Oryzias latipes: one gene and its partner. The protein of the gene in region 2 binds, or shares a complex with, the protein of the main gene of each other region. Links are inferred from orthologs where the notes say so. Each region holds a gene or a part of one and is shown on either strand. Other genes may lie near its edges.

Region 1 (4,372 bases), on a different chromosome or scaffold from region 2:
AAATAAAATGAAAAAAGCAAAATAACGAATAGCAGTTATATAAGAACGAAAAATGTAAAAAATCCCCCCCCCGACGATGTCATCGTCCATCCCGATGGTTGACAGCAAACATCGTCAACGGCCAAATTAGGGGACATCGCCCAACCCTATGTCTGACTGAGCACAGCTCGGATCGTCAGCACACACAGCGGTTTGAGCTTCAAAGCAGAAATGTCGCTCAGTCCTTAGAAAACATTCAAACAATCACGCGGATTTGTGTTTCCAGTCGTGTCCCGACTAAATAAAGGCTGATGTTATTCTTACATGTTTACGTGCAGCCAGCAAGCAGCACCACCCAAAGCTAATGTTGTTAGCCCGTGTTAGCATACTGCTAATCCTGGCTTCGTTCAGAAAAAGCACTGACCACACGGATTAAAATTCAAATGATGAGCGAACAGGTGTTTCATAATAACCGTAACATTATTAAAGGCACGTTTAGAAGATTGGCTCGTAAATTACTGAGCTGACATGTCAATGTATAAAGCCGCTCGGCGCTGTTTAACATTGTTTTGTATTGAATTGTTACATTCAATAAAGTTTGGAAAAAAAAGCCGCTCGGCGGAAGTTGTATCCCCTTCCGGTTTTCAAACTGCGCATGTGCGAATGATTTATTCCGACCGAAAGTGTGACCTTAGTGAACGTTTTTATATTCTGAAAACATTTTTCTGGGCCCATCTACACGGTTGGATTCTAATCCGACCATTGATCCCATCAAGATATTTTGTACATGTAACCGCGGCTTATGGTGTCGACGCGCAACGTGGCGGGGGCGTGGCATCACGATGGTGGTCTCTCCATCGGGATGTCAGTCACCCATCACGATGGACGATGATATCGTCCATCGGCACAACCCTACCCCTAAGTGAGTTACAGCTGCTCATTTCTCTGTAGAAGTCTATGGAAATTTGGCTTCTTGGAGACAGCGGGAACTTCCTGTTTGGAACTCTACGGGAGAGGAGTCACTCAGTCCAGTTCTCATATACAGTCAACTGTCTAAACAGAGGGAATTGTAAGGAACTGGGTTGAAAAATATGAAGGGTGTCAGTTGGTCTGGACTGAGTCTGCTTAGTTTGGTCCAGATTGAGTCCTGAGCGTTGCATTGGGTCTGTAGTCAGACTGCCTTCAACCGGACATTTCTGTTTCCAACCAACCAAAGCTTGTAAAAAAAAAAACGTGTGACTAAAGATCTCTTCAGTCATTGGCCAGGAATTACGAGGGCAGTCAAAGACTAGTGCACTTTGCAATCCCATTGGTCCAGTGGAGGCTGGCTGTAGGGCGGCTAACGGCAAGAGTCACTGATAAGACTTTATGACATGCAGATGGTCGGGAAAACAGTGAGAAGCAACGTGCGTCACATTAAAAGTTGTTTTAATGAGCCTGCATTTATCCAATCACATTTCAATGAGTTGCTGTGTCTCATCGTCATGGTTACTTCCTTTTCCGTTTACATCCCATACGGAGCGGCTACGGTGGCCATTTTTGGTTCCGTTGTTCCACTCTGGGAACAGACTGTATTCAGACTGAAGAACCTTAGAGTACACCAAAGCTCAGTCCGATTGGAAACGAACTGAGAGACCACCTCCACAGATGGAACCAAGCGGTTCCTGGTCCCGCACCAGGGCCCACTTGGGTTTATTCAGACTGAAAATTTGTTCCAGATTGTCGGGGGAAACGAACTTCTGGTTCACTTTAAGAGAACCAACTGTGTGGAGTCTGAATCCACCCATAGACTGATACTATGGGGTAAGGAATGTGTCAAAAAGAAACGCATTTATGAAGACAAAGTTGTGCGGCTGGTTAGAATCTGGACCAATCAGCAGGCTGTTTGTTGGCACATATGTCACGCTAAACTGAGACTTATGAACGTTAAATCAAAGATAGGGAAACAGCGAAATGAGACGTGTTAAAACGCAAAATTTTTTTTTGAAAGCAGAAAAAAATTTAAGAACTATTTAAGCAACTATTTAATACCTTCACTTGCTACTTAAAAAGTTTTGTTTGCAATGTGTTGGCATAAATATCACTTCATTCTCAAAAAATACGGCAGGACATCGCCATTATAATCTGTTTTTTTTAAACAAAACTATGATAAAGATAATTTCCCTTCTAGAAGATCAATAACATTTCAGAAAGTTTAATTCTGTTTTTAGTTTAATAAACGAGGCTCAACGCGCATGCTCACTCAGTTGAATTGAATATCGGGACTCTGTGTATATGCCAATGACCACATGGCGTATATTTGATACTTTTTTAAAGAAAAAAACAACAACACAATGAACAAAGAAAACACCAAAAGCTGAACTGACAAACGCACCAAAACCATGAGCTCCCATGATGCACCTCGCCCGCTGATTGCTATGGCAGTGGGCGGAAACCGAGTCGTTACAGTAAGAATGCAAACAAATGTTTTACTCCTTACAGTCTTACAAAATAGAGCACACAGATAGCCGCCCGCCGCTTTACAACCGCGGAGTGATCCCGTCAACGAATCCAGTCTTCAGCCGCGTGCGACCGTCCCGTCCCGTGTCCGCTGTGCAAATAGTGCGAGTGTTTAGCTGGCAAACACAGCGACACGACAGGTTGCAGTAACCAGAAACACGCGTGGAACCGTGTCCGGAACTTTAACGCGCCCTGAGGCTCCCCCGGTGCCTCACGCGCTAAAAAAACCGGCTTCGGTGAAAGGATCAGCGAGAGCACGTGCTTCCCGGAGCAGCTCACCGTAAACACGACCGTTTAGGCGCGAAACCACCGCTTTCCAGTGGGTTCTTTACACACCCCGCTCATCTGCTGATAAATAATATGACACGTGGAAAACTATTACCCAAGAAAATAAGATGTAAAGGCAAGAACTTACCTGTTATCGCAGAGGAAATGTCCACGTGACAACACGCGCAAGCGCAGGCTGCCGTAAAGGTTGTCTCTGATGTCGCACAGGAGGTTGCCAGATCAGATCATTTCCCGACAAAACTACGCAGTAAAATCAGTAAAGGCAAACACAACCCGGACTAAACTTCCCCCCACATAAAAAAGCTAAACTAAGACTTTTTAATGGTAATTTACAAAATCAAGATAGATTTATTTTATAAAAATATATAAATCAATAAACTATTAGTTGTCGTCTCCTTTTGAGTGATTTGTTGTTTTTATCAGTCTCTTTTTAATCTTTTGCATTTTCTGTGTGTATTTTCTACACAATTGTTCGTGCGGTTCCTAGTAACTTGAGCTGTATTCATAACTTTTTTTGTGGTATTTGCATCATTTGTTATTTAAAAACACTTAAAAAATTATATTAACAAGAAACTTAGCAAATGCAATAGGAAACCTCTGCTGCTGAGTTACACTACGATTTTCCTCTGACTGCACAACCATGACCAGAAATCCAACTTGCATCTGGATCAGACTTCAGCATGTCATTTTCAGGTGTTTGACTGCTTTAAGGTCTGTCACTGCTTCTTTTCATTTGTGAAGTAGGACTAAACTCAGTTTAATCTTTAAAGTAGAATAATATTGGTTATATTGTGTGGGCTATGTGTGAAAACAAAGATTTCAAACTTGTATATCAGTAATTTTTTTCACAATAAGCCTCACAATAGCTAAAGACTGAAATCAACCCCATGTTCCTTTTGACCTTTAGTTGACTGTAAATGTAAATCAGCACAATAATTTGTGGTTATTTTTTTTTACCTTATTCCATAATTTTACACCTCCAGTTCAATATGTTCAATTTTTTTTTGTTTTAGGTGTTAATTGTTTCTGTAATATTGATAGTTATTTGGATGAATACTTTTTTATGTGTGAATAATATTTTAAAGTAATTCTAAAGTAATTTACTACAGCTCTTTCTAGTGACATCTGGTTAACCAACAAAACTCTTTAAGCATAATTTCTAGAAAAACATTTTTTTAAATTTAAAACAAAACATCAGTTTTGAGAAAAACAGCCTGAATTTGTTCATTTTGCCAACTGCAGATGTGTCCAGCCCAAAGAGTTCCAAAGAAGCGGAAACATGACCGATCTGGCAACCCTTGTCTTCTTTGTGTCATAAGCCGACCTGCCCCGTCCTTAAAGAGACAGACCACTCTGACTTCATCAAAAGTTTCGCCAGACAGACGCTGCTCCAATAGTGGAGATGTTTAAGTGTTTGTTGGCTTTTTAAAATTCTGCTGCGCGGGTAACTATGGCAACAGCTGGTCAGGGAGGAATGCTTTTGTTTTCCGAGAGTGTGTGTGTGAGAGAGAGAGAGGAAAGAGTGTGTGATTGTGTTTGTAACCAGTCGTTGATAGTCACATGCACAAACAGCTGAAGCAGGTGTGCTTTCAGAGGTGCAAGGCAG
Region 2 (4,494 bases):
CCCTAAACATCCTGATCCAGTTCAGAAAAAAAGTTATTTGTTAACAAAAATCTATTGGAGAAGTAGATTAACTGCAGGTTATTTACAACATATTTGCTAGTTTTGTGGACTCTCTGGAAATAGTTCTCATTATAACTGAGGTTAGCTAAAACTAAAGACCTGATGGTGACATCACACCTTTATGAGGTGAACTGTACTGCCTCCTGCAGGAGAGTCGAGGGAACAGCACCTTCTCTTGTGTCAGTGGAAGATGACAAACTCCCACCCTAACCCCTAACTACTAAAACTATTTAGTGCCCTGGATTTTAAAGAAAATTCAGACACAATGCTCAGTGCTTAATATTTTAAATGGCGAATATGACATAATTGATTTCACAAAGTTAAAATCTAATTCATATGAGCGTTTTGTCACCATTATTTATGAGTCCACTGAGTTCTGAAGATAAAAACATTGATGGTTTAATTAAAAAAATACATTTAAATACATTTTCTTTTGGCAAAAATTGTTCTGATACTATGCATTGTGGTCTATATTCACCGACATAGTGAGCCTTGATGCACACTGGTATTTCACAGAGACTTCTGGTAAATTTCTAGGGCACTGGATTTTGTAATTGTAGATTCAGACAGCTCTACAAAAAGGTGGACGCATTATGCAGTGAGTAGTGAAGGAATTCTGACACACCCCAGCAGCAGCAAAGTTAGAAACAGCTGAGAATGTTAAGTACCTGTAACTTGCAATAGAGGCACTTTATATCCATTTTAAACAGTTTAGGCCATATTCTGTAAAATTGTGCTTTTTACATTCAAGCGCTTTGTTTTTGAGAACTCCACCCACCAAAGACATCTCCATACCAGAATGCTGCTACTGTAACCCAAATATACTTCACTGGATGTAAGGAATTTCTAGTTTAGTGTATAAATATATTGGAAGCTATTTATATTTATTTGATTTTTGGTTGTGAGTGGAGATCATCTCAGTATTTACTTCCAGAACTTTCTTTCACAGAATGTATGTCCACCTTTAATGTTCTGGTCTCGTTTGAAAAAATGTGTTTCTCTGAAGAAAGCAAATAAAATTTGAAATATTTCCTCACTTTTACACAACGTACCAGAGGTTTAGTTATAACTTTACTGCTGTCGGTGGTGGTTCACCTTTCAGCAGATCCCTTCATGGATCGCCTCTGCAAATCCACTTTCATTACTGCTATTTTTGAAGTCCTCAAAGAGAGGAACACCTGCATAGGTGCGCTGCTGACTCACCACTTTGGAGGGGATGTAGGCGTACGGCAGGCTCCTGTCCTCACACATGACCGGTAGGTGGCAGTACACCTCGATGGGCAGAGTGTCGCCAGCTAAAACCACGATCCTGTAGAGCAACGACCAATCAGAAAACCAGCTTGCAAGCAATGAAGTCACTTCTGGTCACGCCCCCTCAGACTAAACACAAAAGACTGAGTCACACGGGTGACTGCGCATGTGCGGGGTCAAAGGTCGAGACCTCAATGGACAGCAGACAAGGTGACCGCTAAGCCAAAACGCAGCCATTACGATACATAACCAAAGACAAAGTACAGGTCCATCGGCAGATGCAGTTTGCCGTTGGTGGGTCAGCTAATGAAAAAATAGCAACAAAAAAACCAAAGCAGCAAATACTAGTAAGAACAGACCGTTCAGTGACATGAGTGAGCAATATTGACATTTCTGTCAGCCATGTTTTAGTTGCTTCCTCACCAACCCAAGAGCCTTTTCAATCACAAGAGGATCGGGTTATTGTTTTCTGTCAATGCAGAGAAGTGGCATTCTGATCTGTCAAAGAAACAGAAGAATGTCGTACGCCTTTAGATAGTCCATATGGAATATTTAAGCCTTCTACTAGTATTATAGATCTGGAATGTTTGAGTACTGCATCATGTGGGCCTAATGTTGAACCAGACAACTGTTATCCAGTCCTCAAGTTGTATCATGTCCAATGCTTCGCATGCATACGTCCTTTTTATCATCGTCTGCTGTGGGGATGAGGCCTCTGCAGCACACCTGTGTCGCAGCACACCTGTGTCGCAGCACACCTGTGTCGCAGCACACCTGTGTCGCAGCACACCTGTGTCGCAGCACATCTGGTGCATCGTCGGGCGCCTTTAGTTCGTTAACTGACCGGGCAGATGGTCCTGTTATTTTAACTTTGAATATGTTTCATCATGGCTAGGGTTAGAGACCATCACCAAGTTTGTCGTCCAATGAGGCCTTGACCTTTGACCCCGCGCATGCGCAGTCATATTTGTGAACTGGCCAACATCACTGAGTCGCTTTGACTAAACCCCAACTAAAACAGAAAAGAACTTGGTTGAAAGGTTTTGCAAAGTTTCTCATCATTAAAGTTCTAAAGAACTGTAGCTCCAGACAATAAAATGAGAAATGAAGAGCAGCACAGAGACAAACGGAAATTATCTGGATTCTAGAGAAAAACAAAGGATCCTATGAGAAGCTTCATCCACCAACATGCTTCTCCTCCTCCTGAGCAGCTCCGGCTCGTTCTAACTCACCCTTTCTCTCCCTTGTTGATGAACTTCTGCACCTCCTTCACTCCTCTGCGGATGTTCTTCACTCTGGCAGCTGAAACCACAAAAATGCTCAATACTGTCCTGGTCCAACCCGGTCCCAGTCGGACCCGGACTGATCCACAACCTGGAAACGTCCCGCACTCGTACCTTTCTTCACGCACTTGTAGAGCTTCTTGCTGAGCTTCCTGGAAGCCAGCGGCTGCGCGATCGGGTTCAGGTTCGCGATCAGTTCGTGATAGGAGCGCTCCGGGACGCCGGCGGGCTCCTCCGCATCCAATTTCTCCTTCTTCACCTTCGTCATTTCCAATCGATGATTTTCTGAGCCGAACGTCTGCTAACAACAACTTAACACGAGGACACCTCACGTGCTCAGCTTCCTCTGCTTCTTTTTTCAGACTACGGCTTATCACAGCGCCGCTAGCGGCCGGGCGGTGAAATGCAGCGTGACGTTTCAAAGTTTACATTCCAAATGACTTTAATTTGCTTCTTTCTTTCAAAAATGAAATTGTGTTTAAGTTCTTGTGGTGTTTTTCTCATGATAGTGAAAATATAAAAAGAAAATTAAGATTAAATGTGTGTTTTTGTGTGTTTCTTCTGTTATTTCTTTATTCAAATTGCTGTGAATCAGGAGTAGATGACAAACTTACAGTGTAAAAAAGCTTGTCGTTACCATTGAGAGTAAAATAAGAACTAGACTGAAAAACACCCCCCCACCCCCTCCGTGTACCAAAAAAGGAAGTACCTGCTGGTCCTAAGAAGGCAAAACCCCATAGACTTCTATTAAGAAATAAACAGCTGTTACTCTGTCATTCTATTGGTCAGAATAACCATTCTGGATCTGATAACTTTTATTAAAATCTTATTGCTAATCCTGATTTTTCTCATGGTATTTTTCCTGTAGTGAAAGTTATCTAAGTTATAAACTGACAAATCAGATGCCTTAATAAAAGTAGCGTCAGAAGTTTGAAACGTTTGATTGACAGACCCTCCCTATCCGCTCTCAGTGGAAAGGGGTGTGGCCTTCTAACAGGCTCACTCCTGATTGGAGAGAGTGGTTGCAACAGAAATGTAGACAAGCCAATCACGGCTTACTGAGGTCATCTGCTTCTCACATGGTGAAGGACATATCGCAGAAAAATGGGGACTGAATTGACTTCAGTTGGTTGCAACCAGAAGCAAGGCATTTTCTATGGATGATATCACACGCCATTTATCCAGTTGTAAATTTAACAGTCAATTGTCAAACAAACTGAAATTGATGGGCCACACGCTATGGGGTCAAATTATATGAAACCCATCAAGACGACTGTTGTTGTGAATTTGGGCTATACAAATAAAATTGAATTGAATTGAAATTAGGATCAGGTAAAAAAAAAAATAACTCAAAAGTACACATTGAAAACGCCAAAAGAAATAATGAAAATTAAAAAAACTTGACCCCTAAGTTTAAACAAGAACTTCAAACCTTAAACTGATACCAAATGAAAAATAATATTTATTTGTTTTGCATTTTCAACGTTTGTTTCCTCTGTTTCTTTCCTCCTTAGCTTTCAGTTTTCACTGAGAGTGCCTAATTTTACTTGGGGGCGGGGCTTTAAGGTCATTGGCTGCGTTTACATGGACAAAAGTAATCGGAATGAACACCTGATCAGAAGAAAAATGCGTCATGTAAACACGCCGTTCGGAATACTCTGCCCCGATCAGACTCGTTTGGATCAAAATTTCTTTCTGATCAAGATAGGTGGGTTATGCCGATTGTTGATCCGATCGTGGTGCATGTAAACGGTTCATTCTGATCATGGGTCACTACTGCTCTGGTTTAACGGCATGCAAGATGGATGTTTCACTCCAGAGACGGCTTTGGAGCTCAAACAGGACCGACCGGCAGCTCCGTGGACGCCCGGTGCGAAGCGCGGACGTCTCTGCGCTCCGC

What was found.
Region 1: nhp2 (region 2) and gar1 share a complex: the UniProt entries of both Homo sapiens proteins name them as parts of the H/ACA small nucleolar ribonucleoprotein (H/ACA snoRNP) complex. The link is inferred for Oryzias latipes from reciprocal best matches to the Homo sapiens genes NHP2 and GAR1.

The regions. Positions count from the first base shown.
Region 1 is NC_019868.2:3,863,573-3,867,944, forward strand, and holds the start of gar1 (H/ACA ribonucleoprotein complex subunit 1), read right to left. Parts: upstream 2,982-4,372; 5' UTR 2,894-2,981; intron 2,775-2,893; exon of another isoform or gene 2,758-2,774; intron 1-2,757. UniProt on the Homo sapiens protein: Required for ribosome biogenesis and telomere maintenance. Part of the H/ACA small nucleolar ribonucleoprotein (H/ACA snoRNP) complex, which catalyzes pseudouridylation of rRNA.
Region 2 is NC_019872.2:3,233,370-3,237,863, forward strand, and holds the start of nhp2 (H/ACA ribonucleoprotein complex subunit 2), read right to left. Parts: upstream 2,967-4,494; 5' UTR 2,863-2,966; coding exon 2,709-2,862; intron 2,614-2,708; coding exon 2,544-2,613; intron 1,370-2,543; coding exon 1,264-1,369; intron 1-1,263. UniProt on the Homo sapiens protein: Required for ribosome biogenesis and telomere maintenance. Part of the H/ACA small nucleolar ribonucleoprotein (H/ACA snoRNP) complex, which catalyzes pseudouridylation of rRNA.